4 linked regions of the Elephas maximus indicus genome follow. The protein of the gene in region 1 purifies or fractionates together with the protein of each later gene. This does not show direct contact. Links are inferred from orthologs where the notes say so. Each region holds a gene or a part of one and is shown in the gene's direction. Other genes may lie near its edges.

Region 1 (7,573 bases):
GCTTCCTGCTTCATTCAATATTTTCCCCATAGAATCCTTCAATATTGCAACTCGAGGCTTGACTTTTTTCTTCGGTTCTTTCAGCTGCTTTGTAGGACTACCTAAATCTCAGGTCACAGATTTTCCTGTGCAAGAAATGTAACTTCTTTCTTCCTAGGAAAAATTAATTTCTTTTCAACTCTCTTTTCCATTGGGGTAGAGTGGAAATAATCTCAGACAGTTTAGAACTTTTCCCATCCCCGATTTTCATGCTGTGCACACGTTTTGGAAGATTAGCATATGGCCAAAGGGGAGGGGGAGGCTCATATGACCCTAGGTGTGCATCCAGTTGTCAATTCCTGAGGCTTCCATCGTCCTCTCATTTGTCTACACAGGTTGCCACTGAGTCTACCTGGGAAATGGAGCCCAGCCTTCTTCTGGGTTATTGGCCAATGTGAACTTACCTTTTCCAAGGAGCAGCAACAGCCTTGGCCTGAAGAACAGGGATCAGGATTCCTTTCTTAGGGACCTACCAACAGCTATGAGTCTCTCTCTTTCCCTCTAAAGCTCCGTTTTCAGACTAGGGAATACCTGTCTCCTTTGTGGGGAGGACAAAGTGGGTGGTGGTGGTGTGGAGATCAAGCACTTACCCATGATATTTAAGTCAATTGTCTATTCCCTGAATTCCTTCTATTTCCCATGGGGCTGGCTTTTGAAACCCAAAAGCCTTGAAAAAGCCCTTTGGCATATAACCCCGTTCCCATTGCCATATAGTATAGTCAAAACCCGTTGCCGTTGAATAGATTCTGACTCATTCTGACCTTATAGGACAGGGTGAAACTGCTCCATAGGGTTTCCAAGGCTGTAATCTTTATGGAAGCAGACTGCCACATCTTTCTCCCGTGGAGCAGCTGGTGGGTTCAAACTGCCAACCTTTTGGTTAGCAGCAGAGCACTTTAACCACTGTACCACCAGGGCTCTGAAAGCTTTGAAGGGACTCCTTTTTTCCTGTGTTCTGATGTCACAGCCATAAGCTCCCCAGTGTAGGGATGTCTCTTGCCTGGCACACAGTGGGTGCTCAATAAAGATTTGTCCGTTAAAGGAATGAATGTGTTTTCCTCTCCAGTTTGTCCCCTTCCAACCCATCTAGTAAGTGCCTTTCAGAGGAAACTTCTGGAAATGTGGTTATCTTTAGGTCACTTGGTAGCTCAAATGCAATCAGATGTTGTTCTGCTGCCAAGCCCACAAGTCTAACCACTTACTAACCCACTTTATTTCCTACCAAATCTAAGTACTTGAGACGCCTGGCCCGCCAGGCAGCCTGTCATTCAACCGATAGTATTTATGAAGCCCCTGCTATGTGCCAAGCCTACTATGTGCCAGGCACTGTTAGACTCAGGGAACAACAGAGAACAGGACACCCTGGTTCCTGTCATCACAGATCTTACAGGCTATGGAGAATCCAGACATCAGACAGATAATTATAAATAGTTAAATGATTATAGTTATCTCAAGTGGCTCAGAGGAGAATTAGAGGCTGATAAGGAAACCCCGGTGGGATAGTGGTTAAGTGCTACAGCTACTAACCAAAAGGTTGTCAGTTTGAGTCCACTAGGCACTCCTTGGAAACTCTATGGGGCAGTTCTACTCTGTCGTATAGGGTCGCTATGAGTTGGAATCGACTTGACAGCAATGGGTTGGGTTGGGTTTATGGGGACTAAAGGAGCCCCGGGTGGTGCAAACAATTAAGCACTCAGCTACTAACAGAAAGGTTGGTGGTTCAAATCCATCCAGAGGCACCTCAGAAGAAAGGCCTGGCAATCTACTTCCAAAAGATCATAGCTATTGATAACCTTATGGAAAACAGTTCTACTCTGATACACATGGGGTCTCCATGAGTCACAATTGACTCACTGGCAACTGGTTTATGGGGGCTAAACCTTGGCCTGATATTAAAGAAAAGGCCTCCTGAGGAAGTGACATCTAAGGTGGGACTGAAGTTTACATTGGAGGGCATTGGGGGGAGGGGAAGAAGGGAAGGATTTGAGGAAAGTGTTCTAAGCAAGGGTGGGTAAATTTGAGGATTTAAAAGACCAGTGTGGCTGGAGAGACTGTGGAGGTCAGCCTGGGCCAGATGGCACAGGGCTTGGGAGCAAGTTTCTTCTGCCAGAGTCACTCATTCCTGGTCTTGGGACTGACTGCTTTCCCTCATTCGGGTCTCAGTAAAAATGTCACCCCCTTAGAGACACCCTCCCTAAATATCCTGCATAAAGAAGTCCTCCCTCCGATGCCCAGCAGCTACTATTCACCTTATTCTGATTTGTTTTATTCATGGTGCTTACCACTCTCCAGGTCCCCAGGTGGTGCAAATGGTTCGCACTCCACTGCTAACCTAAAGATTGGCAGTTCAAACCCACCCAGTGGTGCTGCAGAAGATAGACCTGGTGATCTGTTTCTGTTAAGATTACAGCAAAACAAACAAACAAAAAAACCCCTATGGAGCAGCTCTACTCTGTAACACATGGGGTCGCCATGAGACGGAATCAACTCGATGGCAACCAAGAACAACAACCACTCTCTGGAATTATCTTCTTAGGTGTTGATTTTCTGCATGCTCTCCATAAAATTAAACAGCCATAAGAGCAGGAACCTTGTCATTTTGTTCATTCATTTGTATCTGCAATGATCAGAACAGAGCTTGACACACCCCAATCAATATATGTTGAACGAATTAAATGCCTGAGGAGTAGCATAAATAGATTTTTCACTGAAAGTAGATCACTGGCTGCTTTGTGGAAAGTGGATTAGAGGGAGGCCAGTCTGGAAACAAGGTCAATCAGGAAGTTTTTTTTTTTTTTTTAATTGTGCATTAGGGTGAAAGTTTACAGAGTAAATTAGATTCCCATCTGCTGGTTCGTACATAAAGTGTTTTATGGCCTTAGTTTTATTTCCCACAACGTGTCAGCACTCTCCCCATTTCCACCCTGGTTTCCCCGATACCTTTCATCCTGATTTTCTATCCCTTTCTGCCTTCTCATCTCTGCTTTAGGGCAAATATTGCCCTTTGATCTCATATAATGGATTGTTCTATGGAGCACATTCCTCTCAGATACTATTGTTTATTTTATGGGCTTGTCTATTGCTTGGCTGGAAGGTGATCTCCAGGGATGGCTTCAGTTTCAGGTCAGAAGGGTGCCTCCAGTCTCTTGTCAGACCAGTAAGTCTGGTCTTTTCTGTGAATTTTGATTTTTTGTTCTACATTTTTCTCCGGCTCTGTCCAGGACCCTCTCTCTGTTGTGATCCCAGTCAGAGTGGTTGGTAGTGGTAGCTGGGCACCATCCAGTTCTCCTGGTCTCAGGGTCGTGTAAGTTGTGGTTCATGTTGTCCGTTAGTCCTTTGGACTAATTGCTTCCTTGAGCCTTTGGTTTTCTTCACTCTCTTTTGTTCCAGACAGGAAGAGACTAATAATTGTATCTTAGATTAGCAATGGGTTTAGATGGCAGCTGGTAAGCTTTTAAGATCCCAGATGCTACTAGGAAGCTATTTTATCAGTTCAGGGGAGCTTGGGCAATCTTGCTGGCTTTTGAGATAATGACAAACATGAATATGTATACTGTACTTACTATGTTCCAGGGTTAGTTCAAAGTGCTGTTTGTTAACTCATCACAAAAAAACTCTATAACTTAGTTCTACCCTTGTTTTCACTTCCCCGATTTTACAAATGAGGAAACAACTTAGAGAAGTTCACACAGCATACTAGCTGGATGGAGTTGGGATTTCAGCAGTCTGGCTTCAGAGTCCATGCATTTGGCCGCTATACCCTACTGCCCTATATCTGCAACTTTTGTTCTTCTCTCCGTCTTTGCTCATGCTGTTCCTTCTAGAATACCCTTCACTTCTTTCTCCTTTCTCTGAATATTGCCCGTTTGTCAAAGCCCAGCTCATTCACGCCTTTTCAGGGAAGACTTCAGTGACCACATCTACCCGTCCTGCTGTCTTCCCTCGTAGCCCACACGAGTCGGCGCACGTTCTCTACATCTTTCCTGAGTATATCTTATCTTACAGAGGTCAACGAAGAATCTTACACTACCTGAGCTGGAAGCAACCTAGAAGTCATGTAGAAAACCGGCAGAGAAACTAGTGACTTGCCTAAGGTCACAGAGCAAATTGGTAACAGAAGTAGTACTAAAACCGTTTTTTGATCATTGTTAGTTCCCCTACTCATCTGCATTTTCATCGGATTCCCCCAGCATGTATTTTCTCAAAGGGCGGCCCGAGAAACACCAGCCTCAATTTTATTGGGCGCTAAATTAAAATGCAGACTCTCTAGGACAGACCCTAGAAATCTGCATTTTAATAAGCTCGTTAAGAGATTCTTGTGCACATTAAAATTCGGAAAACACAGACACTACCGCGTCTCAAAAGGAGTGCAGGAACACATTGGATGTAACGGTCCCACTGCATCATGGGAAATGTAGTTTTACGCCGCCTTTTCCCTGGGGCACTTTACGGAAGGAGACGAGTTAATCCGGAAATAGCCGAGTGTTCTGTGGCGGGCCCTTTCCTGCCCGGTTGCATTCTGGGAAGGGGCAGTTTCCGTTAGTTGCTGAAGGCTGCGGCGCGCCACCTGCCCCAGACCCACGTGAAGCACTACGCTACCAGAGCTCGGCGGGGTGCTCCCCGCTCGCTGCGGAGCGTCCGGAAGCAGCGGGGAACCGGAAGTGGCCCGCGGCGGCTCCGAAGCCAGTCACGGAGCCCGGTGTGAGGCGCCTCGGAGCGCAGTGACGGCGCCATGTCTCTGATCTGCTCAAGTGAGTAGCGCCTGCGGCCGATCGTGGGTTGCAGGAGGCTGGAGAGCGGAGCGGGAGAATGCGCCAGCTGCTGAGACACCGGCTTCTGGAGGAGGCGGGAACGGGGCTCCCGGGCGATAGAGCGGCGGCCTGTCAGCACCGGGAACCTTCCGTCCTCCGCGCGGGGTCCATTTGCGCAGAGCTTCGCAGTTTACACAGCGCCTCAGATTTGTCGTCTCAGGGCTCCTTGGGGCCAACCATTTGGTTTTACAGAGGCTTGGACAGAGGGAGTTGGTGCAGGGGAAGCCTCTCTAGCGTAGGAGCCAGGGGAGCCGAGGGCTCGTTCAGAATTCGCCTCCGATTAGCTTTGTGATCGACCCCTCTCTGGGCCTTAGTTTCCCCATCTTCAAAATGAGGACTTTGCACTGGATGCTGTCTGAGGTCGCGCTTGGGCAGTCGGAGCTTCTGGAGTTTGCGAAGGTCACACAGTGAGTTAGAGGCAGAGACAGGGCTGGAAGCCAGGTCTCTCTCACACTGTAGCACGAATAAAAACAGTGCTTATTTATGAGGCCCTTCATGGTTTCCAGCAGTGCTTCCAAGTCTGTGATCTCATTTTATCCTCACAAGAATTTCCCGAAGCAGAAATAAAGACCCTAGCTTTACAGGTGAGGAAGGGAAGCCCAGGATGAGTGTTAGCTAAGGTTCCACAGCTAGTAAGTGGCAGTGCGGGGTGACAGTCAGGTTCCCCGACCCCAAATCCATGCTTTTCCATGCCTTATACTGCCTTTCCTTTTGGTGTTTTATTGTGTCATGCTCCCATTTTCTTTTCTCATCTTTTCATCAGGTTACCAGTTTCCCACCCCTTTCTCTCTTTGCTTCCTACCTTTAAGCCATCCTCTCTTTCCTGAACCTCTCCCTTAAATCCAAAGAAGGGTAGTAAAAAGGGAAATGGGCAGGAAAAGGAATACCTTACACGGAGGGAATTATAATTACATTGAAGAAATTGCAAAGTATTTTCACATCCAGTGTTTTCTTTGACCCTTGAAAGAGCTCTGTTCTGTGTGCTCCAGCACCGTCCTTCCTCCCATGCATTCATTCCTTCGTCTTTGGGATGTGCACCTACTGGGAGTCAGAGACCAGCTGTAATCCCTCTTCTCTAGGGCACACCGTCTACTCAGGGCAGGTGTGTAAATGATGATGAGATTATGTAAAATGTTCAGAATCATGCATGGCACCTAGCAAACCCCACATAAATGTTTTTTATTATTATAGTACTTGTCTCGTTGCTTTGTATCTTCTTCGATAACCTACCTAGGGCTCTAGACTGAGATGGACAGCAGGGATTTGAGTGGCTTCATACATGTCTCCATCTCCTGGAGTATAATGGATGCCTAGCTATTTTTGTAAGGAGCCTTGGTGGCACAGTGGTTAAGCGCTCAACTACTAATTGAAAGATTGGCTGTTCAATCCCACCAGCTGTTCTGTGGCAGTCTGCTTCCATAAAAATTACAGTCTTGGAAACTGCCCTATGGGGCAGTTCTTCTCTGTCCTGTAGGGTTACTATGAATCGGAATCAACTTGATGGCACACCGCCACGACAACAACCACCAGTTTTGTTTAAAAATGAGATGGGCAGGGATTATTGACTACTCCCTAGGGTGCCTGGCATGTTGTAGCTCTGCGGTGAATATTTGTCGAAAACCTGACTATCAGGAGACTGCTGATGGAGAAGCTCCTTATGTCACTGGAAAGCATTCTGGGGACAGTACAAAACTGGCTTGGGGACACAGGTCTTGTTTCCTTTTGGTTCAGTGTGAGGACATGTGGCCTTATTGGGGCCAGTAGCGGGTGAGGGGTTTCTTTGGTCCAGGCTTCCCTTTGACCCCACGCTCACTGCCTGCCTTTTCCCTGCAGTCTCCAATGAAGTGCCAGAGCACCCGTGTGTGTCCCCTGTCTCCAATCATGTCTATGAGCGGAGGCTCATTGAGAAGTACATTGCGGAGAACGGCACAGACCCCATCAACAACCAGCCTCTGTCTGAGGAGCAGCTGATCGACATCAAAGGTGCCCACTGGTCAGCCTCAGGCCAGAGCTGCCTCAGTTCAGAGGCTGAGAGGGTGGGAGGTGGTGCCTTTGCATTGGAAGAGGCGATGGTGGTCTGTTAATTCAGGCTGAGGGGGAAAGAGGTGGGGAACGGTAAGAGGCTGCTGGGTTAGGGTTCTTCATACCACTTTCCCTCTCGGCAGTTGCTCACCCAATCCGGCCCAAGCCTCCCTCAGCCACCAGCATCCCGGCCATTCTGAAAGCTCTGCAGGATGAGTGGGTGAGTTCCCCAGAGGGAACCAATGTCTTCCCCACTTGAAGAGATGGATCCCTGGACTGGGACTAGGGAGTGGGAAGGCTGGAGCATCGTCATCTTTTTCGAGGGGCAGAATGATATGGGAGGAGGCACCTGGGTGTAAAAGTCACACAGGTCTGAGTTTCAAACTTAGCTTCATTGCTTACTAGCCATGTGACCTCCAGCAAGTTGCCCACACTCTGAGTCCTGGTTTTCGTGACTGTATGGTGGAGATTTTAGTATTTTATCTTTCAGGATTTTGGGAGGGTTACGATACAATTATAGAGTATAAACCTCATGACATCAGGGTCTTGTTTTATTCATCAGTGTATCCCCAGCACTGAGGGCAGCACCTGATACATAGTAGGTGTTCTGTAAATCTGAGTGAATGCATCTTGAGGGACCATCTGGCACAGGGCCTGACACAATGAGGGCAATGATAAATAGCAGCGGTTATTGTTCCTTT
Region 2 (7,846 bases), on another chromosome or scaffold:
CTAATTAAATACTAATTTCCTCAAGGAAAATCCTCTCAGCCCTTATGAAGAGCAGGAGTGACACCTACTGCTCCAATAAAGCAGCTCTGGATGTTAGGGCCAGGAGTCTTAAGCTTTTCCGGACCCCTCTACAAATCCAATGAAACCTACAGATCCCTTCCCTGTGGGAGAAAAAAATTACATTCTTATATAAATGCAAAATTTGCATACAGTTGCAGGTGATTCAAGGATTCCTGAACTAGGAGCTCGGCTGCGAAACACAAGGTCAACAGTTTGAATCCACCAGCTGCTTCCTGGAAACCTCATGGGGCAGTTCTACTCTGTCCTACAGGGTCGCTATGCGTCAGAATCAACTCAACAACAATGGGTTTGGGTTTGGGTTTTGAGTTCAATCTATCTATTCATCTAAAATATTCAAGAGGCCGATATAATTTTGTAGATTCAAAGAGAACTTATAAAATCAAACAAAACCCAATGCCCTCGAGTCGACTGCGTCTCATATCGACCCTATAAGACAGAGCTCTATAGGGCTTCTAAAATGATAATCTTTACAGCAGCAGACTGCCACATCGTTCTCCCACAGAGCGGCAGTCGGGTTCCAACTGCTGACCTTTCGGTTAGCAGCCGAGCACTTAACCACTGCACTACCAGGGTTCTTAAGAGAGCTTACACTCATAAAAAAAAAAAGTGTTGTTGTTACTTGCCATTGAATCAGTTCCAACCCAGAGTAGCACTGAGCTCCATAGGTTTTTCAGAAGCAGACTGCTAGGGCTATCTTCTGAGCTGCCTCTACATGGGTTGGAACTTCCAATCTTTTCACTAGAACATAATGCAATTTACCTCTATCATTACAGTGTGTTTATGAGCCCGGGATTATAAATAAAATGTTGCCAGGGTGATTAAAGACCTAAAAAGTTAATAGGCTCAACTGGATGTTGTTGTTAGGTGCTGTTGAGTCCTTTTTCAACTCATAGTGATCCCATATGACAGAGCAGGACTGCCCTATAGGGTTTCCTAGGTCGCAATCTTTACAGGAGCAGATCAGCAGGTCTTTCTGCTACCAAGCAGCTAGGTGGGTTCCAACCACCAACTTTCGGTTAGCAGCTGAGCACTTAAGCATTGTTCCACCAGGGTGCCTCTCAACTATATAGTTGCCATATGTTAGAAACTTGTTTTCATCTCTATGGCTTTATTGCCATTTAAAATCACATTCTTTAGTATAGTTATTGCTATCTATAAGAAAAAAAAATTTCCATCAAGTCGATTCCGACTGACAGTGATTACTATAGGACAGAATAGAACTGTACCATAGGATTTTCAAGGCTATAAACTTCACAGATTGGACATCACGGACTTGATGTCCAATCTTCTTTTGAAGAAAGCAAAAGATCATTAAAAAAGACAAAAAGGAAAGACCAAAATGGATGTCAGAATACACTTTGAGACTTGCTCTTGCTAAAGTAAATGGAAGAAATGAAATAGAAGAGCTGAACAGAAGATTTCAAAGAGAGGCTCAAGAAGACAAAGTAATATATTATAATGGCAGATGCAAAGACTTGGAGTTAGAAAACCAAAGGTAAGAACATGCTTGGCATTTCTCCAGCTGAAAGAACTGAAAAAAAAATTCAAGCCTCAAGTTGCAATATTGAAGGATTCTACAGGGAAAATATTAAATGACTCAGGAAGCATCACAAGAAGATGGAAGGAAGACACAGAGTCATTGTACCAAAAAAAAAAAAAAAAAAAATTGGTCAACGTTCAACCATTTCAGGAGGTAGCATATGATCAGGAACCAATAGTACTGAAGGAAGAGATCCAAGCTGCACTGAAGGCATTGGTGAAAAACAAGGCTTCAAGAATGAGGAAATACCAATTGAGGTGTTTCAACAAATGGATGCGGCACTGGAAGTATTCACTTGTTCATGCCAAGAAATTTGGGAGATAGCTACCCGGCCAACTGACTGAAGAGATCTATATTTACACCTATTCGAAAGAAAGATGATCCAACCAAATGTGGAAATTATCAAACAATAACATTAATAAAACACACAAGTAAATTTTTGCTGAAGATCATTCAAAAGCGGCTGCAGCAGTACTGAAATTCAAGCTGGATTCAGAAGAGGACGTGGAACCAGGGATATCATTGCTGATGTCAGATGGATCCTGGCTGAAAGCAGAGAATACCAGAAGGATGTTTACCTGTGTTTTATTGACTGTGCAAAGGCATTCAACTGTATGGATCATGACAAATTATGGATAACATTTTGAAGAATGGGAACTCCAGAACACTTTATTGTGCTCATGAGGAAACTGTACAGAGATCAAGAGGCAGTCATTCAAAGAGAACAAGGGGATATACTTTGTGGTTTAAAGTCAGGAAAGGTGTGTGTTAGGGTCGTATCCTTTCATCATACTTATTCAGTGTGTATGCTGAACAAATAATCTGCAAGCTGTACTATATGAATAAGAACAAGGCATCAGGGTTGGAGGAAGACTCATTAACAACCTGCATTATGCAGATGAGACAACCTTGATTGCTGAAAGTGAAGAGGACTTGAAGCACTTACCAATGGAGATCAAAGACCACAGCCTTCAGTATGGATTATACCTCAACATTGAGAAAATAAAAACCCTCACAACTGGACCAACGAGCAACATTACGATAAACAGAGAAGACTGAAGTTGTCAAGGATTTCATTTTACTTGATCTACAATCAACACCCGTGAAAGTACCAGTTGAGAAATCAAATGACACATTGCGTTGGGCAAATCTGCTGCAAAAGACCTCTTTAAAGTGTTAAAAAGCAAAGATGTCACCATGAAGATTAAGGTGCGCTTGACCCAAGCCATGGTGTTTTCTATCACCTCATATACATGTGAAAGCTGGACAATGAATAACGAAGACTGAAGAAGAACTGACACCTTTGAATTATGGTGTTGGTGAAGAATACTGAATATACCATGGACTGCCATGTGACCAAACAAATCCATCTTGGAAGAAGTACAGCCAGAATGCTCCTTAGAAGAGAGAATGGCAGGACTATGTCTCACATACTTTGGACATGTTATCAGCAGGGACCAGTCCCTGGAGAAGGACATCATGCTTGGTAGAGTAGAGGGTCAGAGAAAAAGAGAAAGGCCCTCAACAAGATGAATCGGCACACTGGCTGCAACGACGGGCTCAAGCATAACGATTGCGAGGAAGGCACAGGATCAGGCAGTGTTTCATTCTGTTGTATGGAGGGTTGCTATGAGTCAGAATTGACTAGACAGCACCTAATGATAAACTTTACTGAAGAAGCCCTGGTGGCGTAGTTGTTTAGAGCTCAGCTGCTAACTGAAAGGCCAGTGGTTTGAACCTACCAGCTGCTCCTAGGGAGAAAGATGTGGCAGTCTGCTTCCATAAAATTTACAGCCTTGGAAACCCTATGGGGGCAGTTCTACCCTGTCCTATAGGTTGCTATACATTGCAGTCAACTCAATGACAATGGGTTTAGTTTTTGGTTTTGAATCTTTACAGAAGGAGGCTACCACATCTTTCTCCGAAAGAGGGGCTGATGGATTTGAACCACCGACCTTTTGTTTAGCAGCCAAGTGCTTAACCACTGGGTCATCAGGGTAAGTTACAGTATGATTTAATTTCCAAAGAGTATAATTTATAATTATGGCAGTTCTTGGAAGGCCCACCATCAGTGACTATTTTTACAGAAAATTAGTTCTTAGGCCAAACTCACACTCAAATTTGTAGATGATTGTTTTTTCAAGTAAAATCATGACCTTGATGTTTCAATGAATGAAAAATTAAAGCATTTTTAAATAAAATTTAAAAATTGCTATACTTTTGGTACCATTTTGGGTTTTTTTTTTTTCCTCTCAAAGAATATGTAGTATGCTCCGTAGACACCATCAGTGGAACTCATTATGGTTAAGAAACAGAGCCAGTCAAATGTCGAGTTAAGTTTGCAAATAACCAGCTCCATCGATTTTCCTTTTCACATATGAAAATAATTGAACAGGATTGATAACTGCAGATTCTATCTGCGTAAAAAGCAAGCCAAAAATATCAATACTTTGGCACCAATGTGTTTATAAAAATAAAAATGGTTTAAGTCTTCAATCTTCTTCCATCAGCTTTGAAAAGCTGTACCTACCTTTGCTGAAGTCACATTCATCAGAAACAGGAGTTACGCAGTTTTGAGAGACTTCTTTAAAAAACCTATTTATCTAACAGAAAATAAATTCGGGGTTTTGTCAGATCTTCCTAACGCAAAATTCCTTCACATATCACTTCCCTCAAAATTTTTCAAACGGAGACAATTACTCAGCGACATCGACTCATTAACCGTTTTAGTGGACGGTGTAAGCGGGACTGTTTCAGGCTACAACGGCGACTAAACTCTTCCAGCCAGGTAGTGGGCGGCGACTAAAGGCTTCAGCAAGGTAGTGGGATTAGGGACATAAAGCGCGGAGGCGAACCCCAAAGAGGGGAGACCTTAGAGGAGTCTTAGCGCCGACTGGGAAATCTTCGCTTTCCAGACCCTCACTAAAGCTGATTTCATAAGCTCTCTGAATAAAAAGCATTTAGTTGCCGAGCAATACAGTGCAAACAACTACGGCGCCAATGCAAAACATTTAAAGCGGCGGATAAGACAGAAAACATGCTCATTTCAACAGTTCTAGAGACAAGACAAACGCAGCCACGCTCCTCGAGGAGCCTCTGGCGCTCTGTCCCGAGACTCCGCCCCCAGAGGCGGCCCCGAGGAGAAAGGCCCGCCCCTCGTGCCCAAGACCACCTACGGACAACCAGCGCGCCTGCGCACAATTACGTCATATCCGGCGCCAGGGCGCGCGATTGCGGAAGGGGCTGCACAGTTGTGGCGGCGGCCTTTGCGTTGGTGATTAGTGTACCGTTCCTGCCGGAGAGGCGGATTTCACGGCAGCATCATGGTCGAGGTAGAGTGACACCTAGGCGCTGAGGAGTCGTTTGGCTCTGAACTGCTTTTCTCTGGCGGCGGGCGTGGGTGATAGCGTGTGTTGGGAATCTGGGGCGAGAGAGGCTGCGAGGGGAGGCTGTTTTGCCGAGGCCGGGTGGTCTCTTCTTAAGGTTTTCGGGGAGGGAAGAGGCGGGATGAGAGCACGAGTTTGAGGCGGGAAGCCTGAGATAATTTATTCAGTCCTCAATTGGCCCTTAGGAGCTGCGCCCTGTCCCCGTAGGTGAGGCTTCTGTTGATGTTCGACCACTGGTAGTCGCCGCTCGCAGGGGAGTGCCAGTAATTCTGGATCCTTAAAGACTGCTGTTGTTTTGTATCTTGGTTCCAGTTGGTCTCTTATCGCAGCTCTTCCCCCAGGAAAACCTGCCATTCTTGAGTTTTCACATCTTTTCCTAGATTGAATACCTATTCTGTTAGCAGGTCTTGTCTACCTTGTCTCAGAAATAGTTCGACTCTCTCCACTTTTCTCCATACGCGTCGCAATCACCTTCATTCAGGCCAACATCATCTTTTGCCTGGACTGCTGCATTAGCTCCCAGCTGGTCTCCTTGCTTCCATGTTTGTGCCCCCTAAATTGATCTCTTTAAAACGTAAGTTGGTCACGCCTTCCTTGGTAAAAACCCTTTGCTGGCCTTATGTTACCACTAGGACAAGAATACGGATTATTGTAATGGTTTTAAAAGACCTTACCTGATCTGGACTTTGCCTATTCTTGCAACCTCATTTTGCAACAAGACCCACCCTCTCGCCTAACGCACACACACAACTGCCCTGGAGCTCCTGGCATTATTGCAGTTACTGAGCATCTTTGTACGTGAGGGCTTCCATCTGTCCAAATTGTCCTTACCTCCCCTCTGCAGGGTAACTCAGCCTCTGCTTAAATGTCACCTCAGAGAGACCTTTCCTAACCATCCTGCGTAATTTCCCTTCTCCTTTTTGTGTCTCAGCCCTTGCTTGTTACTTTCATAGCAGTAATAAAAATGTGGGACTATTTTGCTTATTTTTATTTCTCTCTTTGTCCTTGAGCAAAGGGAGCTTGACTCTTTTCATCATTCTTTTGATAGGTTTTAGCGCAGTGCCTGCCAGACACATAGTGTGCACTGAATAAATTACTAATCTCAGGCTTTGCTCAGTTAATGTACCTGGGACTCTAGCCAAAGAGCAGCTTCCTCCTCTTTTCTAAACTTGACTCTTACAGCTTGCTACTGGGAGCAGTGGTGAGTGGTTAAAGCAGTGGTGAGTAATTTGTAGCTACATTTGCACTCTTTCTTTTCAGGAGGTACAGAAACATTCTGTGCACACACTTGTGTTCAGGTCATTGAAGAGGACCCATGACATGTTTGTAGCTGATAATGGAAAACCTGTGCCTTTGGATGAAGAGAGGTAGGCATAGTTTTTTTTCAATTGCTACAATTTTTAAACTTCTAACATTTGGGGAAGAAGGGGACTATTTAATCCTTTAAAGATTAATTAGTAATACTAACAGTCATAAGGTAGCTCCGCAGTAATGAGTGTTGCTGTAGCATAATTTAAGCTGATATAACTTTTTTTTTTGGCCTTACTGTTCACAGTAAAAATCTCATTAATTAATTGCATTTCGCAAATACCCAGTAATTAGGAGAGCCCCTTTCAGGTGTTTTATTTTATAATCAAATCACTTTGTATGTGCTTTCAGCTTCCCGCTGCTCTCAGAGCCTTGCTGAGCTGAAATTGTACCTGGCCAGTACCTCTCCTCCCACCTTTTCTCGTTAGTATGATGAAGATTTTTGAGTGATGGCATATTTTTGGTTCTACATCTCCAGCTCCAGTCTGGGATTGCATTATGTGCAGTGTTCCTTCTTTGTCCTACCCTTCGTTTAGAATCTTAATTCCTCAGACAAGCATTTATGTTCGATTTATAAAGTAGACTATACTTAAAAATAATACAAGTGTGCTTCTCTTTAAAATGTTGAACTAATTAAGTACTTTGATTAGTTCTAACTAACTTTAGATAAATCCAATAAAAATTGTTATAGAAGCTTTTACTGTATTTTTACACTGGAAAGAATTTATCAGTCTCTATATTTTTTTTCATATATTTTTAGATCAATTGGACTCTTGGTATCTCAACATGAAAGAGTTTGTATTAGGTAACAAGCTAAAATACTGCTTAGACTTCATGGATGCTATGTGGTAGAATGTGAGCAAAAGTAAACATGATATGGAAATGCACTTAGAAATTTTTGAAGTTAAAGTTAAAATGGTATTTATTTAAAATCTTAATAGAAACTTTTTCTACATGGCTAGGCAAACTTAAGTTATTTAAGTACTTGTTCTCAGGCTAGCTATAAACATTTGCAGTGGTGAATATATTTAAATTATTTAAAAATATGTTCTACATTTATACTTTTTAAATAGTCACAAACGAAAGATGGGAATCAAGCTTCGTAATGAGTATGGCCCTGTGTTGCATATGCCTACTTCAAAAGAAAATTTTAAAGAGAAGGCCCTTCAAAATGCAGCAGATTCATATGGCAACAAACAATATCCTGCCAATCAAGGTGAGTATGGTGTTACCAGAAATACCAGGAATCGAAATGTTTTTTTTTAAACTAGAAAAATAAGATGTCTTGTTAGCACTCCTTGTAGAAGAACTAATTGAAGCCATCCAGTATTTAATGGCTATATTAGAATTATACTGAAAATCTTGATTTCATCATGAGACTAGTGATTGAGATTATCAGTTGGTGGTTTCTCTCTTATAGGAAGTGAAAGTGGTAGTATAGTAATGGCAGACATTTTGAAGTTGTGGAGAAGGTCACAGTGGAGACCAAAGGAAAAATCTGGAGAATAGTCCTAAACTATGAAGAGACCAT
Region 3 (7,920 bases), on another chromosome or scaffold:
GTACTTCTTCCAAGACAGATTTGTTTGTTCTTTTGGCAGCCCATGCAATAGTCAATATTCTTGCCAGCACCATAATTCAAAGGCATCAATTCTTCTTTAGTCTTCCTTACTCATTGTCCAGCTTTCACATGTGTATGAGGCAAGTGAAAACACCATGGCTTGGGTCAAGTTCACCTTAGTCCTTGAAGTGACATCTTTGATTTCTAACACTTTAAAGAGATCTTTTGCAGCAGATTTGCCCAGTGCAATACGTCACTTGATTTCTTTACTGCTGCTCCCATGAGCATTGATTGTGGATCCAAGGAAAATGAAGTCCTTGACAACTTCCATCTTTTCTCCATTTATCGTGATGTTGCTCGTTGGTCCAGTTGCGAGGAGTTTTGCTTTCTTTATGTTGAGGCGTAATCCACACTGAAGGCTGTGGTCTTTGATCTTCATCAGTAAGTGCTTCAAGTCCTCTTCACGTTCAGGAAGCCAGGTTGTATCAGTTGCATATCGAAGGTTGTTAATGAGTCTTCCTACAATGCTGACGCCACATTTTTCTTCAGATAGTCCAGATTCTCAGATTATCTGCTCAGCATACAGACTGAATAAATATTGTGAAAGGATAAAACCCTAACACACACCTTTCTTGAGTTTAAACCATGCAGTATCCCCTTGTCCTGTTAAATGACTACCTCTTGGTCTAAGTACAGGTTCCTCATGAGCACAATTAAGTGTTCTGGAATTCCCATTCTCTGAAATGTTGTCCATAATTTGTTATGATCCACACAGTCCAACAATGCCTTTGCATAGTCAATAAAACACAGGTAAACATCTTTTTTCTGGTGTTCTCTGCTTTTAGCCAGGATCCAGGTGACATCAGCAGTGCTATCCCTCCTTCCATGTCCTCTTCTGAACCTGGCTTGAATTTCTGGCAGTTTCCTCCTGATGTACTGTTCAACTGCTTTTGAATGATCTTCAGCAAAATTTTACTTGCGTGTGATATTAATGATACTGTTTGGTAATTTCTGGATTCTGTTGGATCAGCTTTGTTTGGGATGAGCACAAATATGGATCAAGTCTTGTAGTTGTTTGGCCAGGTAGCTGTCTTCCAAACTCCTTGGCATAGATGAATGAACACCTCCAGCTCTGCATCTGTTTGTTGAAATATCTCAATTGGTATTCTGTCAGTTCCTGGAGCTTTGTTTTCCGCCAGTGCCTTCAGGGCAGCTTGGACCTCTTCCTTCAGTACCATTAGTTCTTGATCATATGCTACCTCCTGAAATGGTGGAACGTCGACCAATTATTTTTGGTACAGTGACTGTGTATTCCTTCCATTTTCTTTTGATGCTTCCTGCATTGTTTAATATTTTCCCCAAAGAATCCTTCAACATTGCAACTCACAACTTGAATTTTTTCTTCAGTTCTTTCAGCTTGAGAAATGCCAAGCATGTAAGACAGAGTAGAACTACCTCATAGGGTTTCCAAGGCCATAAATCTTTACAGAAGCCGACTGCCACATCTTTCTCAAAAGAAGCAGCTAGTAGGTTTGAACCACGGACCTTTTGGTTAGTAGCCACACACTTAACCACTGCACCACTTGGGCTGCAGTTTCTGCTTAGGGAGATGAAAACCATTTGAAAATGGGTAGGGGGATGGAAGGAATACACAGAGTCATTACACCAAAAAGAATTAGTCAATATTCAAACATTTCAAGAGGTCACATATGATCAGGAACCGATGGTACTAAAAGAAGAAGTCCAAGCTGCTCTGAAGGCATGGGTGAAAAACAAGGCTCCAGGAATTGATGGAATATCAATTGAGATGTTTCAACAAACAGATGCAGCGCTGGAGGTGCTCACTCGTCTATGCCAAGAAATATGGAAGACAGCTTCCTGGCCAACTGACTGGAAGAGATCCATATTTATGCCTATTCCCAAGAAAGGTGATCCACCCGAATGTGGAAATTATAGAACAATATCATTAATATCACATGCAAGCAAAATTTTGCTGAAGATCATTCAAAAACAGCTGCAGCAGTATATCGACAGAGAACTGCCAGAAATTCAGGCTGGTTTCAGAAGAGGACATGGAACCAGGGATATCATTGCTGATGTCAGATGGATCCTGGCTGAAAGCAGAGAATACCAGAAGGATGTTTACCTGTGTCTTATTGACTATGCAAAGGCATTCGACTGTGTGGATCATAACAAACTACGGATAACACTGCGAAGAATGGGAATTCCAGAAAACTTAATTGTGCTCATGAGGAACCTTTACATAGATCAAGAGGCAGTTGTTCGGACAGAACAAGGGGATACTGACTGGTTTAAAGTCAGGAAAGGTGTGCGGCAGGGTTGTATTCTTTCATCATACCTATTTAATCTGTATGCTGAACAAATAATACGAGAAGCTGGACTATTGGAAGAAGAACGGGACATCAGGATTGGAGGAAGACTCATTAACAACCTGCGTTATGCAGATGACACAACCTTGCTTGCTGAAAGTGAAGAGGACTTCAAGCACTTACTGTTGAAGGTCAAAGGCCACAGCCTTCAGTATGGATTACACCTCAACATAAAGAAAACAAAAATCCTCACAACTGGACCAATGAATAACATCATGATAAACGAAGAAAAGATTGATGTTGTCAAGGATTTCCTTTTACTTGGATCCACAGTCAACAGCCATGGAAACAGCAGTCAAGAAATCAAAAGACGCATTGCATTGGGCAAATCTGCTGCAAAGGACCTCTTCAAAGTGTTGAAGAGCAAAGATGTCACCTTGAAGACTAAGGTGCGCCTGACCCAAGCCATGGTATTTTCAATCATATCATATGCATGTGAAAGCTGGACAATGGATAAGGAAGACCGAAGAAGAGTTGACCCCTTTGAATTGTGGTGTTGGTGAAGAATATTGAATATGCCATGGACTGCCAAAAGAACAAACAAATCTGTCTTGGAAAGAAGTGTGGCCAGAATGCTCCTTAGAGGCAAGGATGGTGAGACTGCATCTTACATACTTTGGACCTGTTGTCAGGAGGGATCAGTCCCTGGAGAAGGACATCATGCTTGGCAGAGTACAGGGTCAGCGGAAAAGAGGAAGACCCTCAACGAGGTGGACTGACACAGTGGCTGCAACAATGAGCTCAAGCATAACAACGATTGTAAGGATGGCACAGGACCGGGCAGTGTTTCGTTCTGTGGTGCACAGGGTCGCTATGAGTCGGAACCGACTAGACGGCACCTAACAACAACAACAAGGGGGATGAAAACCATTTGAAAATGAATAGTGGTGATGGTTGCTCAACATGGTGGATTTAATTAAAATCACTGAATTGTACACTTTGAAATGGTTAAAATGGCAAATATTTTGTTACGCATATTTACCACAATTTTTAAAAACCTGTGGGATCATGCCACCCAAAGACTGACCCCTAATGTGAACTATGGACTTGTTAATAATGATGTATCAGTATTGGTTCGCCAATTGTAATATATCACAGGAATGCAAGATATTAATAGGAGAAACAATGTGGGGAGGGGATGGGTAAATTCAAATTATTTTCTGAACCCTGTTTTTGTAAACCTAAAACATCTCTAAAAATAACGTCTATTTAAAATGCTAAACCCATTTTTCTCCAAAAAAAAAAATTCATCCTCTCATGGTTTTGAAGGCTAGAACTCTGAAATTAAGGTGTTAGTAGGGCCATGGTCTCTCTAAAGGCTCTAGGGAGGATCCTTCCTTGTCTCCTCTTAGCTCCGTGTAGTTGCCAGCAATCCTTGGCTCATAGATATCACTCCCATTTTGGCCTCTGTCATCACACGGCATTCTGTGTTTTTGTGTCTGTGTCCAAATTTCCTTCCAGTCGTGTTGGATTTAGAGCCAACCCTAATCCAGTACGACTTTATCTTAACTTGGCTATATTTGCAAGGTCCCTACTTCTGAATGAGATGACATTCTGAGGTTCTGGATGGTGGGGGGAGGCTGTATCAACCCAGTACAGTAGTTAGTGACTGGAAGAGGACAAGAGGGGAGCTTCCAGGGTGTGGTAATATCCTGTTTCTTGATCTGGATGTCAGCTGTTTAGGTGTACTCTGTTTGTTCTGTAGGTACATCACACTTCAATAAAAAGTTCTGAAAGAATCAATTCCAGGTGGATTGTAGAGCTAAATGTGAAACGTAAATCAAGTAAGCCTCTAGTAGATGCTATAGGAAAATATGTTGGGGGTGAGGAAAATCTCTTAAGCAAAACACATACAACCCACTAATCATAAACGACAGTATAAACTGGATTACATAAAAGTTAGAAACTTCTCATCATCAAAAAAGAGCATTAAGAGTGAAAAAGACACGCCACAGAGTGTGCTCGTATCCAGAATATATAAAGAATTCCCACAAATCAATAATGAAAAGGCAGACAACCCAATGGGGGCCAAAAAAAACCACAAATCAATAATGAAAAGGCAGACAACCCAATGGGGGCCAAAAAAAAAAAGAGAGAGAGAGAGACCGGAAATAGACACTTCAGGAAAGAAGCAATTGGAAAGAACACTATACACATGAGAACAGTGTGTATATCGTGAGGCCAGCTGTAGCTGGAGGGACAGGACCCACGGGATTCAGGGAAGGGTCCAGGGCTTAAGGTCCCTGTCCTGGTGCTGGGCTTCGGGCCGGGACACAGTATGAGCACCTGAGCTGGATCATCCGCTTATGATCATGGGGCACAAACGCCTGGAACCAGGAGCCCTCCATGGTACAGCTACGCCCCAGGAAGTAACCCCAAACCGGATACGGCCTCAACGCCCGTCAGCACCTTCGGAAAGAACGAGCCGCGGGCGTGGCCTCTCGATTGCTTCGGCCTGGCCGACGAGCTGCGCGCGCATGCGCCGGCTGCGATCGGTGCTGCCTGGCGGCGGGGCGCGGGGCACGCTGGGAGATCTCGTCGGCGGGAAGCAGCGGGCCGGGGCGCCGGGAAGCGGGTGGCGGCAGGATGGTGAAGCTGACGGCGGAGCTGATCGAGCAGGCGGCGCAGTACACCAACGCCGTGCGGGACCGCGAGCTGGACCTCCGGGGTGAGTCCGGGGACCGGGCAGGCGGCACGGAGACCTCGCGGTCGCGCCCCGCCGCGTGCGCCGCCGTTCTGGGCTCCAGGCCGGGCTGGGCGCTGGGACAGCCCGGCGGCCGCCCAGCAGACCGCGCAGTAGGCTCCCCCGAGGTGTCCGTCGACCCCGCTTCTTCGCACGCACCCGGCTGAATCAGGTGCGTCCTGAGCCGTCCCCGCGGGCCCCGGTGAGGCCGTGTGCGGCGGGGCTGGCAGTCGGGACCCTGAGGGCCGGGCAAGTCCGACTCGGGTGGAGGGCGAGCGGGATCGCTTGTCAGTAAATACGTTAGGATAGATCGCATGCGCGCTCGTTATCCCTAGTTTATGCGGAAGGAAGCAAGGTTCGGGAACCAAAGCCACTGTTCCCTTTCTCCAGTCTTCTTGTTAGCTTTATTTGCCTTCTGTCAAAACATTTAAAAAGTGTTGAACTGTTTGACCTGCTCCGGGGTCTCTCTAACCACCGCCGCAGGGCCTGGCCCCTTCACTGAATCCCGTGGTGTACGTGGTAGAAGCCCGTGGACCTATTCCGATCCCTGCGGGTCTTTCACCCCTAGTTAGGCTTCTCAAGAAGTGGGGAGCTCGAGTTAACTAGTTGGCATTTCAGGAGATGGCTTTAGAAGGGATGTGAAGAGCAGCTTCTCTGGGGATCACCATTCTCCAATCCTGGTCTGAGATTTGCCCGCACAGGACACCCTCGGGGGAGCATCAGTGCTCTGGCTCAGCTCCTTTCTGCTTAGATTCTTTGCCGAACTTTTGGGAAATTCCAGTGCTTTCATTATGTTGAAATTCCCATTCTTTAGACAAAGGCTCAGTTCAGTGGTAACTCACCACCTCCACTATCTTTGTGCATGTGGATCTCTACCTTCTGTTTCTGAAGTTCTCCCAGTGTTGAGAATACTTGTTTTGGTGCAATACTTACCTTTTTAAAAAACAATAATACGTTTTATTGTTGTCGTTGAGAATATACACGGCAGTATCTACTCTGGTGTAATTCTTAACAGCTCTGAATTATGTACTTAAACTCTAAAAAAAAAAAAAAACTACTGCCATCAAGCTGATTCCAACTCATAGTGACCCCATAGGGTTTCCAAGGCCGTAAATCTCTAGCTGGGTTTATTTCTTTTTTTCTAGCACCTAATTATGCCCACAAGTCAGTGAGTATTTGAGCAAATTGTTACACAGTATGATTTACCATTGTGTATAAACAACTGTGAAGTGGAGCTGTGTACTTTGTGAAAGAAGTTGTTGGAATGAACAGTACACATGAGAAGGTGTTCAACTTCATTAGTTATTAGAGAAAAACAAATTAAAGCAGGAGTGCAGTATCACTGCACACCTGTCAGAATCACTACAGTTAGGGGCAGGGACCATGATGTCATGATGAGTTCTAGGGGACTGGCCTGTGTTAATGCAAAAGAGGCTGAGAACTGTTGTCCACAATGTTTGAACAAGGGTCGGACACTGATAGTTGGTAGCTCAAAGTGTAAATTCCTGTTACCCCACTTAATTAGCTCTAGGACCTTAATTAAATCATAGAGCCTCCATTTCTTCATCTCATTTTTAATGGACGAAAAACTTAAAACTTAACTTGTGGGTCAAAATGACTAAAACTACTTACGCTACTTGAATAGTGGGAAGCACCTTGTAAATATTCTTACAAATGGTAGTTATTGGTATTATTAGTAAGTCCTCATTCTCATTGTCGTAATCATCTCCATGTCCACTGCTAGGCTGTCAGCTTCATAGCAGCCGGGGCCTGTGGCTCCCTTGTTCAACATCTTAACTCCAATACCTAGCACAACGTTTGGCACATCCTAAGTGCTAGGTAAACACTTCATCAGTGAATGAAAGCTTTGAGTCAAATTACCATGAAACGTTGCTAATGTTACAAGGTGCATTTTAATTATGATAGTGTGATAACCTTTTGTGTTTTTTCTTTCTCTCTTTTTCTTCCCTTTTACAGGTTACAAAATTCCTGTCATTGAAAATCTAGGTGCTACCTTAGACCAGTTTGATGCTATTGATTTTTCTGACAATGAAATCAGGAAACTGGATGGTTTTCCTCTGTTGAGAAGACTGAAAACATTATTGGTGAACAATAACAGAATATGGTCAGTGTCTGATTTGGCTGAGTATCTCTCTCACTTCGTGTCTTCTTCTGTCTGTATTTAGCTACACCTGATTTCTAGAATATTACTCATTTATTTAAACTGAAATCTTCTTTGATTGTCTTTCGGCTCTGTGCAAATATAGGAAAAAGTTAATGAAAGTCTGTAGATAACGTTTTTAGGAAGTACTGTGTGGTGTGGTTTTGGCTTTTTCAGATAGGCACATTTCTCATAAATTAACCATTCACTTATGATATAGTTGTATGCCTTGTAGCTGAGCTATGAATGCAGAATTGTGAATTTCTGTGGTGCACACACAGAAAAGTTATGAAGAGGACTATTTGGTAGTATGTTTTACTCAGGACTCTCTCGTTTTCCTAGGTTTCACTGGGAGCTGTAGAAATGGAAAGAGCCCTAGGCAGCTGTAGGAGGCATGGGCTCTAAGTCATCCCAGTGTGCCATTGCCCTCAGAGCCTGAGCATGATTTCCTCCCTGTGCTTCACTTCCCCATCAGATAGGGGGTTGGAAGAAGGATCCCCACGGCTCCTTCCAAGGCTGGAGTCTGAAACCCTCGGAGGGAATAAGGACTTAGATCAATCATTAGCCTACTGACTTTTCACTTTTATTAAAAGAGCCATTATTTTTATTTTAGCCGTATAGGTGAGGGACTTGATCAGTCTCTCCCCTGTTTGACAGAACTCATTCTCACCAACAACAGTCTTGTGG
Region 4 (7,579 bases), on another chromosome or scaffold:
ATATTAGAGTCATTACTCCTTGTCCTTGAGCATAGAGAATGTGACCCAGCTGGAGCTGGGTTTACAAGGACTCACAGGGACACATCAACTGGGCCCTGAGGTATAAAGACAATAAATAGGATAATCTCAGAAAATGTCTTTTAAAGAACCTTTCACATAAGCCAGAACACAAAAGACTTTCCACTCTTACCTTTTTCTATTAACATCTAATGAATAGAAATTTGTTAGACCAATGAAGACCCTCCTGACTCTCTTTACTGAAACCTGTATCAATGATCGTTAAGAATGATGATTCAAGATACGAGATTACAGTTTCCAGTTTGTGAAAAAGTAAAGCTTTCAATGGTTTTGCTCATTTTATACCCTGTATTCTTAAGACTTGAAAAGACACGACTCCAACAACACCCTTGTCTGCTTCCCACTTTTGCCTTTTTTAAAAAATATATGAACCAGTGTAAAGACTTAAGTGGCTATTCAAGAGACAAAACAAAGACCAGTAAATAAGTATCATAAAAATAAGGAATATAGAAGTATTAAGAATTGTTTCGCTCTAGCCCTTTTACTAATTTCTATTTTAACCTTTGCTTGTGTTGTTCCTGTCTCCAGACAAGCTTATGTGTCTCGGTGTATGCCTTAATGAGTTGGTGCCTTCTCCCCGGAAGGGTAGAGTCATTTCAAGTGATTTAAAAGTTCCAGCTCCAAACGATGGTTGGTCAGAAATTTCAACCCATCACCCAAGAAGAAGAGAGGCAACAGCCTAATAAAGGGCCACTATTTTTTTTTTTATAGATACAAGGGAAACCCTGGTGGTGTAGTGGTTAATTGCTACGGCTGCTAACCAAAGGGTCGGCAGTTCGAATCTGCCAGGCGCTCCTTGGAAACTCTATGGGGCAGTTCTACTCTGTCCTATAGGGTTGCTACGAGTTGGAATCGACTCGATGGCACTAGGTTTGGTTTTGGCTTGGTTTATAGATACAAGAGAGATACAGTGATTTAACACAGACAACACAAGAGTTCCACTTCTCTAACCCTTAGGCCTCCACGCCCCCATCCAACAGGAAGCAGCTAGAGATATGGCGCCCTGTTTCCCAAGATTGAGAAACCTACAACAAAAAGGGGGAATTGAAACAGAGTGCTCAGCCATATCTTGAACAGAACCTGAGCCAATTTTTTTCCTTCTTTCTTCTTTCTCTCCTTTCCCTCCCCTAGCCCATCCCTGTCTCCAAGTAAGATCCTGATGTTAGCTCCCCAAATGGTTAAGTGTTAACCAATGTTTCCTCTAAGACTGTGGAAAACAAGTGATATTGATATAAGCCTGTCTAATAAGATGAAGGATGGCGCCAGCTACCCCCTGAGCTGATGGGATGATGGCAGGAAAACAGCAACATGTTTGAGAAAGGACCACCAAAACCAAACAGAAGAAAGAGAGTGCACATTCCACAAGTCCCTAAAACTTATAGCCCCTTTTCCCTTAAAAACCCGGAACCCATCGGTAGTCTGGTGAGACAGAGGACTTTAGGAGGAGATCATTCCCCTCTGTCTCCATACACCGGTACATCTAATAAAGTTCTTGCTACCCACCTCACCCCTGTCTCAAGAATTGGCTATTTGGGGCAGGCGGCTCTAACTCGCGAAATTGCGATAACACTTGTCACCCACCAAGAGGATTGGATAGCTTGCTAATAATGGAAATAAGGGGCATGGCACCCTTGTGGGGATGGGACCATGAATATAGGGTGTATGGAACCCTAATGAGGACATTGGTCAGTTTTGCCATACTGCTAGGCTTAAAATGAGCCATCCCAGTGGAGGGAAGGGAGGATCTCACCACCACCAAGAAAGAAAAGCCAGGAGTGGAGAATGTCATTTGAACCCAGGATCCCTATGCTAAGAAGCTCCTGGAACCAGGAGATGAGGAGAGAGAGCTGTAACACTGAAGATGGCAAGAAGCAGCAGCACAGGAATGGCTGCAACAAAGGTAGGAGGCTGGCCAGAGATGGTGTGGTGGGTTTTCCGGCTCATGGAGTGAGAAAGCTGAGCACTTTCTGGCAGGAGGCTTGCTAATAGGGTGCCTCCAGGCACTTGGTGGAACTTGGTTTGCAGACCCAGGGAGCTATAGCTGAGCGTCTTCAGGCTGATGCTTACTGGCTGAGTGGGGTACCTCTGGGCACTTATTGGGAGAACTAAAAGAGCTTTGTAACACTTGCCTGAGCTGGACAAAGGCTGGCCTAGAGCAGAGGGGCCAAAGAGAGGTGTGTCTGTGAGCACAGATGAGAAGAAACTGAACTTGAATTATAACGTGTTACTTCCCTAATAAATCCCATAACTGTGAGTATCGTTGTGAGTTCTGTGTGGCCATTGCAACAAATTTTTGAACCCAGCAGAGAAGCAGAGAGTGATGTGGGAGGAATAGTTGATGTCAGAACTGGTAAAATGTTGGAGAGGAGGTTATGTCTGACCTCTGCCTCGTAGCAATCAGTCTTGGGCTATGGATTTTGATTCTCCTCCCTTGTGAAGTTAGAGGAAGTCAGACTCCTCTACCATACAATTTTTATAACACGGAAACATTCTTTGATGGTTACCAGCAATGGGAGTGGGAGACAGGGAAAATCACTAACTAGATAGTAGAAAGGTAGTAACTTGGGTGAAGGGAAACGCAATACACAATAAAGGGGGATGTCAGCACAACATGACCAAGGCAAAGAGGATGCTGGGAGGAACGCAAGAGTAAAAGGAAACGACAGTAAATACTATTTCATACACAATCCTGCCAAAAACAGTAATAACAAACAATAATTTATGAGTAGATATATAGGGAGTAATGTAAGCTGAACAGGTGTGGGATGGTATATGGGAGTACACCCAGGAGCATATATACGTTGGGCAGAGGATATTTCTACATATGTATTTGTACTTACTACAACTATATCCATATATATAGTAGATCGCACAGGGGGCACAGTTATGAAAACTTTTTAGCCATAACCAAACACCTTGAAGGACTGGGTCACTGGACTTGAGGACTTAGGACCATATTCTTGGGGGTTATCTCGGTTAATTGGCATAGTATAGTCCACAATGTTCTACATCCTACTGTAGTGAGTAACGTCTAGGATCTTAAAAGATACAACTATTGGTCTCTTTCTGTCCAGAGCAAAGAAGAGTGAAGAAAATAAAAGTCTCAAGGAAACAGTCCAGAAGACTAATGGACCACATGAATCACAGCCTCCACTAGGCTGAGGTCAGAAGAACTAGATGGTGCCTAGCTACTACTACCTACCACTCTCATCAGGATCACAGTAGAAGATCCTGGACAGAGTGGGAGAAACATGTAAAACAAATTTGAATTAATAAAAAAGACCAGACTTACTGGTATGATTGAGACTGGTGAAACCCCAAGACTATGGCCCTTAGACACCCTTTGAAACCTGGAGCAGAATCTACTCCCAGATATCACCTTTCAGCCAAACAGTAGGCATATAAAGTGAATAATAACACCTGTGAGGAATATGCTGCTCCTTAGGACAATCAACCATATGAGACCAAAAGGGCAGCATTTGTCCAAAAACAAAGTTCAGGAGGCAGGAAGGGGCAGGAAAGATGGGCTAATGGAAACAGAGTACCCACGGAGGAAGGGGGTAGAGTGCTGTCACATTGAGGGGATTGCAAGTAATGTCACAAAACCAAATGTGTACTAATTGTTGAATGGGAAACTAATTTGCTTTGTAAACTTTCAATCAAACCACAATAAAATGTTTCAAAAAAAAAAAAAGGAGAAAACCCTATTGTTGCCCTGAGGGTTTGTATTTCTCTCCTGTATTCATTTTGTTAACTCCCACTAATCCTTCCTGAATCAAACATCACCTCAGAGAGGTCCTTCCTGATCGCCCAATTTAAACTAGATTCTGCTGCTATTCTCTCTCATAATACCTTGTACTTTTCCTTCATAGTTTTACCACAATTGGTAAATATGTACATATATTTATTTACCATTTCCTGCACTAGATTGTAAACTCAAGGGCAGACATAAGATTACTCTTGAACTTTGCTGTCCCTTCACCCAGTTAGGATAGTGGCTGTGCTCCATAGCACACAGCAAGTACTCAATAAACATTTGTTGAGTGAAATGAATAAGTGAATGCGTTAAGTGCTTGAGAACTCTGCCCCGTTATTAGAAGTAGCTTTGAATCTCTGCTTAAAATCTGGATAAATGCCATTAAAGTTAGGACTGCAGGTAGGTGCCTCAGGTATTTCAGTCCACAGGCTTTTCTCCAAGTCTCACCTGCCATTCTCCACCCTGTAACGTGAAGCTTTCTTCGAATCCAAATAACCTGTGCTCTACGTAATCAGACATCATGCAATAATATATCCTTAATAATCACAGACCAAATAATAAGGATTGTGACAACATGGACTCTCAACGTGGCCACGTTTGTGTCCCAAGCCCAGAACATGACGCGGGTGGCTCATTAGCTCCACTCAGGCCAGTAAAGTGCACCCCGCTGAGACCTGCGGGCTCCAACACCAGTGGCTGGGAAAGTCAGTCTCCCGCCTCTACTCGAATCTACCGTACAGCATGGCAGCTCCTGAAGCCATAGGCCAGGATAGTATTTTCCGTACAACATGGCTGCCTACGGAAGCCGAATCTCATTCCCTCCCGCCCAGCTACCGGAAGTTTCCATTTGAAACGGAGGCGGCGGACTCGGTCCCGGGTGCGGCAGTTACTTCAGAGCGTCTTTTGAACGAGATCGAGGAGGACTGCAGGCCGGAGCGGCGGGCTCCCGGGTTCGGCTCTCCTGGGACAAGGGATTGCGCTGAATGTGGGGGGCGGACGGAATGGGCTGGTTAACTCCCACTCATCCTTCTCGGCCTTTTGGCTAGGATCAAGTGTAAAGGTCATCCCGAAGAGGTCCTCTCTTTCCCGGCCTCTCCCCAGAGCCGGGGCTGGTCAGGTCGCGCCCGCCCCGAACCCTCGGCCCGCTTGGGCGCCCGGCTGCCGGCTAGGTCGGCGGGCCCTGCTGGGGCGGGCGGCCCAGCGCCTGATAGCTGACACCACCCTTGCATCCTCCAGGGTCCAGCCGTGCCGCCTCGTTACGATGACCAGCGTAGTTAAGACAGTGTACACTCTGCAGCCCCCCTCTGTGCTGAGCGGCGGCCTGCCCGCAGGTGGGTGTCCAACCTCGGTCCCCCTTGGGTCCCTGCAGAGCGACGTGTAGTGGTAGGGGGGTGTGTGTGCGGGGATGGGGGCACGGACCGGGGGAGTGCATTCCGTCGGCTCTAACAACCTACTCTTAAAACCAGGCTTTCTAGGTTTATGGTTGGGAGTTAGGGGAAGGGTCAAGTGGTGGGGCCTTAGACCTGCCCTGCTACCCTCCAAGACCTAACCCGTGCTGCTTAGATTCAAGCTGCTGGTTGGTCTACACTAAACCCTCGTGGCGTAGTGGTTAAGGGTTCGGCCGCGAGCTAAAAGATCGGCAGTTCGAGTCCACCAGGCGGTCCTTGGAAACCTTGTGGAGCAGTTCTGCTTTGTCTTATAGCGTCGCTATGAGTTGGAATCGACTCGTCAGTTGTGGTTTTTTTTTTTAATTCCCATTAAGCCAGGAATTGCCATTTCACGAGTTACCACTTTTATTTCCAGTGTAGACAGTCTCGAGGGCCTGGACTGTCCAGGTCGTTTGGGAAGTGGGATACTTGGTGGGGGGCGGCGGGGGGGACGGCAGGCACTAGGTTGTTGACACCATGTCATGTTTTTCACATTTATACCTTCCCAGTGTCTCTCATATAGTACTGGCTCAATAAATGTTTGTTAAGTGAAAGGAGAGAGGGATCAGCCTAGTCCCAGTATTTGAGAATAAAGAAGAGAGAGACATGATTAAAAACAACTAATTGCTTGGCCACTTGGCTTTGTTACCTTGCTTGTGGTTGAAAGTCGTTGCATAGGATCTGCAGTTGTCAGCTGCCTAATCTAGAGATTATAGCACAGAATAAGCTTCAGGCACTGGAAAACTATTGTGGGAGATGATGAAGCCGCCATTTCTGAGCCTTTCCCAGATGACTCCTTTCAGCTAGTTGATGAGCAGTAGTAGGGTTGATTGATCTGTGGGGTAAACAGGCTTTTCTCCAAGGGTTTAACAGCTTCTGTTGCCTCAGAACACCTGGGCGTTAATCCCCACGTCAGCAAGGGACTGAGGAATTGCTGGAAGACCCGAAGCCACCACATCTGCTGACCTAGCTCCGCTGTCTCCCTAGATTGCAGTGCCCCTTGCTCAGTGGGGAGTGACTAGCTCTCCCCAGCCAAGTTGGAGGTTTTCAGTGTCTTTGCTTCCTAACGTTGTCCTCCACTTCATGATCGTACATAACCTCAACAGTTAAAAATTTTTAGGCTGCCTCCCAGCTTTTTTCTTCCAATTTTGGGTATGGGTCAGTTGTTTGTGTTTTAGTTTTTGGAGTAGGTAATACATGCACATGTAAAAAAAAAATTGTTAGAGAACCATATGAAGTGAGAAACAAGTCTCCTTCCCTTCCTTGTGGATAACATAGGGCTAATTTCCAAAATGTGAAGCTAACTCATGGCCCTACTTTCCCACTTCATCATTTCAACACCAGCCACCCACATGCCCCTTTCTCTCTCTGACCCTAACCGCTCAAGAGTTGAGTCTCCACAAGTTAGGACTCTTCCTTCTAGCCTCTCTGCCAACTCTCACTAAACCCCCATTAACCCTCATGAGCTGGTTAATTCTCTAGAATGGCTCACAAAATTCATGGAGACTATTACCTGTACTTACAGTTACCCACTTATTATAACCAGACAGGACACCAGTGTAGTGACGCATCTGGCAAGCTCTGGGAGAGGCCCTGTACGCGGCCTCCCTTTTCTCCAGGCACATGTTGCTCCTCCCCTGTGCATGATGTTCTTACCAGTCCTGGAAGCCCCGAAAAGACAGCCCCAAGCCCAGGGTCCTCTAGCCGTTGGGATCTCGGTGGATATGTAGGATTGATTGTGTCTTGCCCCCTTCCTTCCTGAAATTAGTTTGCCAGGTATGGGGCCTGTGTATGTAGCCCCTACTTGCCTGGCTATTTTAAAAAACAAAGAGCACTTTAATTGCTCAGTCTGTTTTCAAAAACCATAGACAGAAAGCCAGATTTAGTTCTTTGCACCACACCTTCCACGACACCACCATCTAATTCCCCTCCTAGTGTCTCCCATTTTAAGGTAGTTGTGTTAAATCCTACAATGTTTCTCCTTCACTGCAGTGCGTGGGTTCTAGAAATATGGATTATTGGAACCAATTTGAGTCAACGATCATTTTATCGTTTTGATCGATTTACTATTAACTCATTTTTACATGGGGCTGATTTGTTATTGAGTATAACTTATTAATCCTTGGGAGCCCTGGCTGCTAACCAAAAGGCGAGGGCAGTTAGAATCCACCAGCTGCTCCTTGGAAACCCTGTGGGGCAGTTCTCTCTTCTATAGGGCTGCTATTAATTGGAATCGACTCAACAGTAACGAGTTTACTAATACTTGAGACAGGAGAAGGTAAAATATATTCCTCTAAAGTTACGTTTTACTTCAGAC

Evidence for each region.
Region 2: the proteins of PRPF19 (region 1) and PLRG1 purify together in Homo sapiens (affinity purification with mass spectrometry; 8 studies listed by BioGRID and IntAct, counting the BioPlex papers as one, with this or other methods). This does not show direct contact. The link is inferred for Elephas maximus indicus from reciprocal best matches to the Homo sapiens genes PRPF19 and PLRG1.
Region 3: the proteins of PRPF19 (region 1) and SNRPA1 fractionate together in Homo sapiens (co-fractionation; 3 studies listed by BioGRID). This does not show direct contact. The link is inferred for Elephas maximus indicus from reciprocal best matches to the Homo sapiens genes PRPF19 and SNRPA1.
Region 4: the proteins of PRPF19 (region 1) and KNSTRN purify together in Homo sapiens (affinity purification with mass spectrometry; 4 studies listed by BioGRID and IntAct, counting the BioPlex papers as one, with this or other methods). This does not show direct contact. The link is inferred for Elephas maximus indicus from reciprocal best matches to the Homo sapiens genes PRPF19 and KNSTRN.

What each region holds. Positions count from the first base shown.
Region 1 is NC_064825.1:124,020,328-124,027,900, reverse strand, and holds the start of PRPF19 (pre-mRNA-processing factor 19), read left to right. Parts: upstream 1-4,556; 5' UTR 4,557-4,771; coding exon 4,772-4,790; intron 4,791-6,683; coding exon 6,684-6,833; intron 6,834-7,015; coding exon 7,016-7,092; intron 7,093-7,573. UniProt on the Homo sapiens protein: Ubiquitin-protein ligase which is a core component of several complexes mainly involved pre-mRNA splicing and DNA repair. Required for pre-mRNA splicing as component of the spliceosome.
Region 2 is NC_064831.1:28,400,086-28,407,931, forward strand, and holds the start of PLRG1 (pleiotropic regulator 1), read left to right. Parts: upstream 1-4,838; 5' UTR 4,839-4,944; coding exon 4,945-4,953; intron 4,954-6,267; coding exon 6,268-6,374; intron 6,375-7,388; coding exon 7,389-7,531; intron 7,532-7,846. Other genes in the region: FGB (fibrinogen beta chain), read right to left, coding at 4,152-4,172. UniProt on the Homo sapiens protein: Involved in pre-mRNA splicing as component of the spliceosome. Component of the PRP19-CDC5L complex that forms an integral part of the spliceosome and is required for activating pre-mRNA splicing.
Region 3 is NC_064831.1:93,106,352-93,114,271, reverse strand, and holds the start of SNRPA1 (U2 small nuclear ribonucleoprotein A'), read left to right. Parts: upstream 1-4,904; 5' UTR 4,905-4,975; coding exon 4,976-5,057; intron 5,058-7,049; coding exon 7,050-7,197; intron 7,198-7,846; coding exon 7,847-7,920. UniProt on the Homo sapiens protein: Involved in pre-mRNA splicing as component of the spliceosome. Associated with sn-RNP U2, where it contributes to the binding of stem loop IV of U2 snRNA.
Region 4 is NC_064828.1:15,636,008-15,643,586, forward strand, and holds the start of KNSTRN (small kinetochore-associated protein), read left to right. Parts: upstream 1-4,576; coding exon 4,577-4,785; intron 4,786-5,071; coding exon 5,072-5,166; intron 5,167-7,579. UniProt on the Homo sapiens protein: Essential component of the mitotic spindle required for faithful chromosome segregation and progression into anaphase.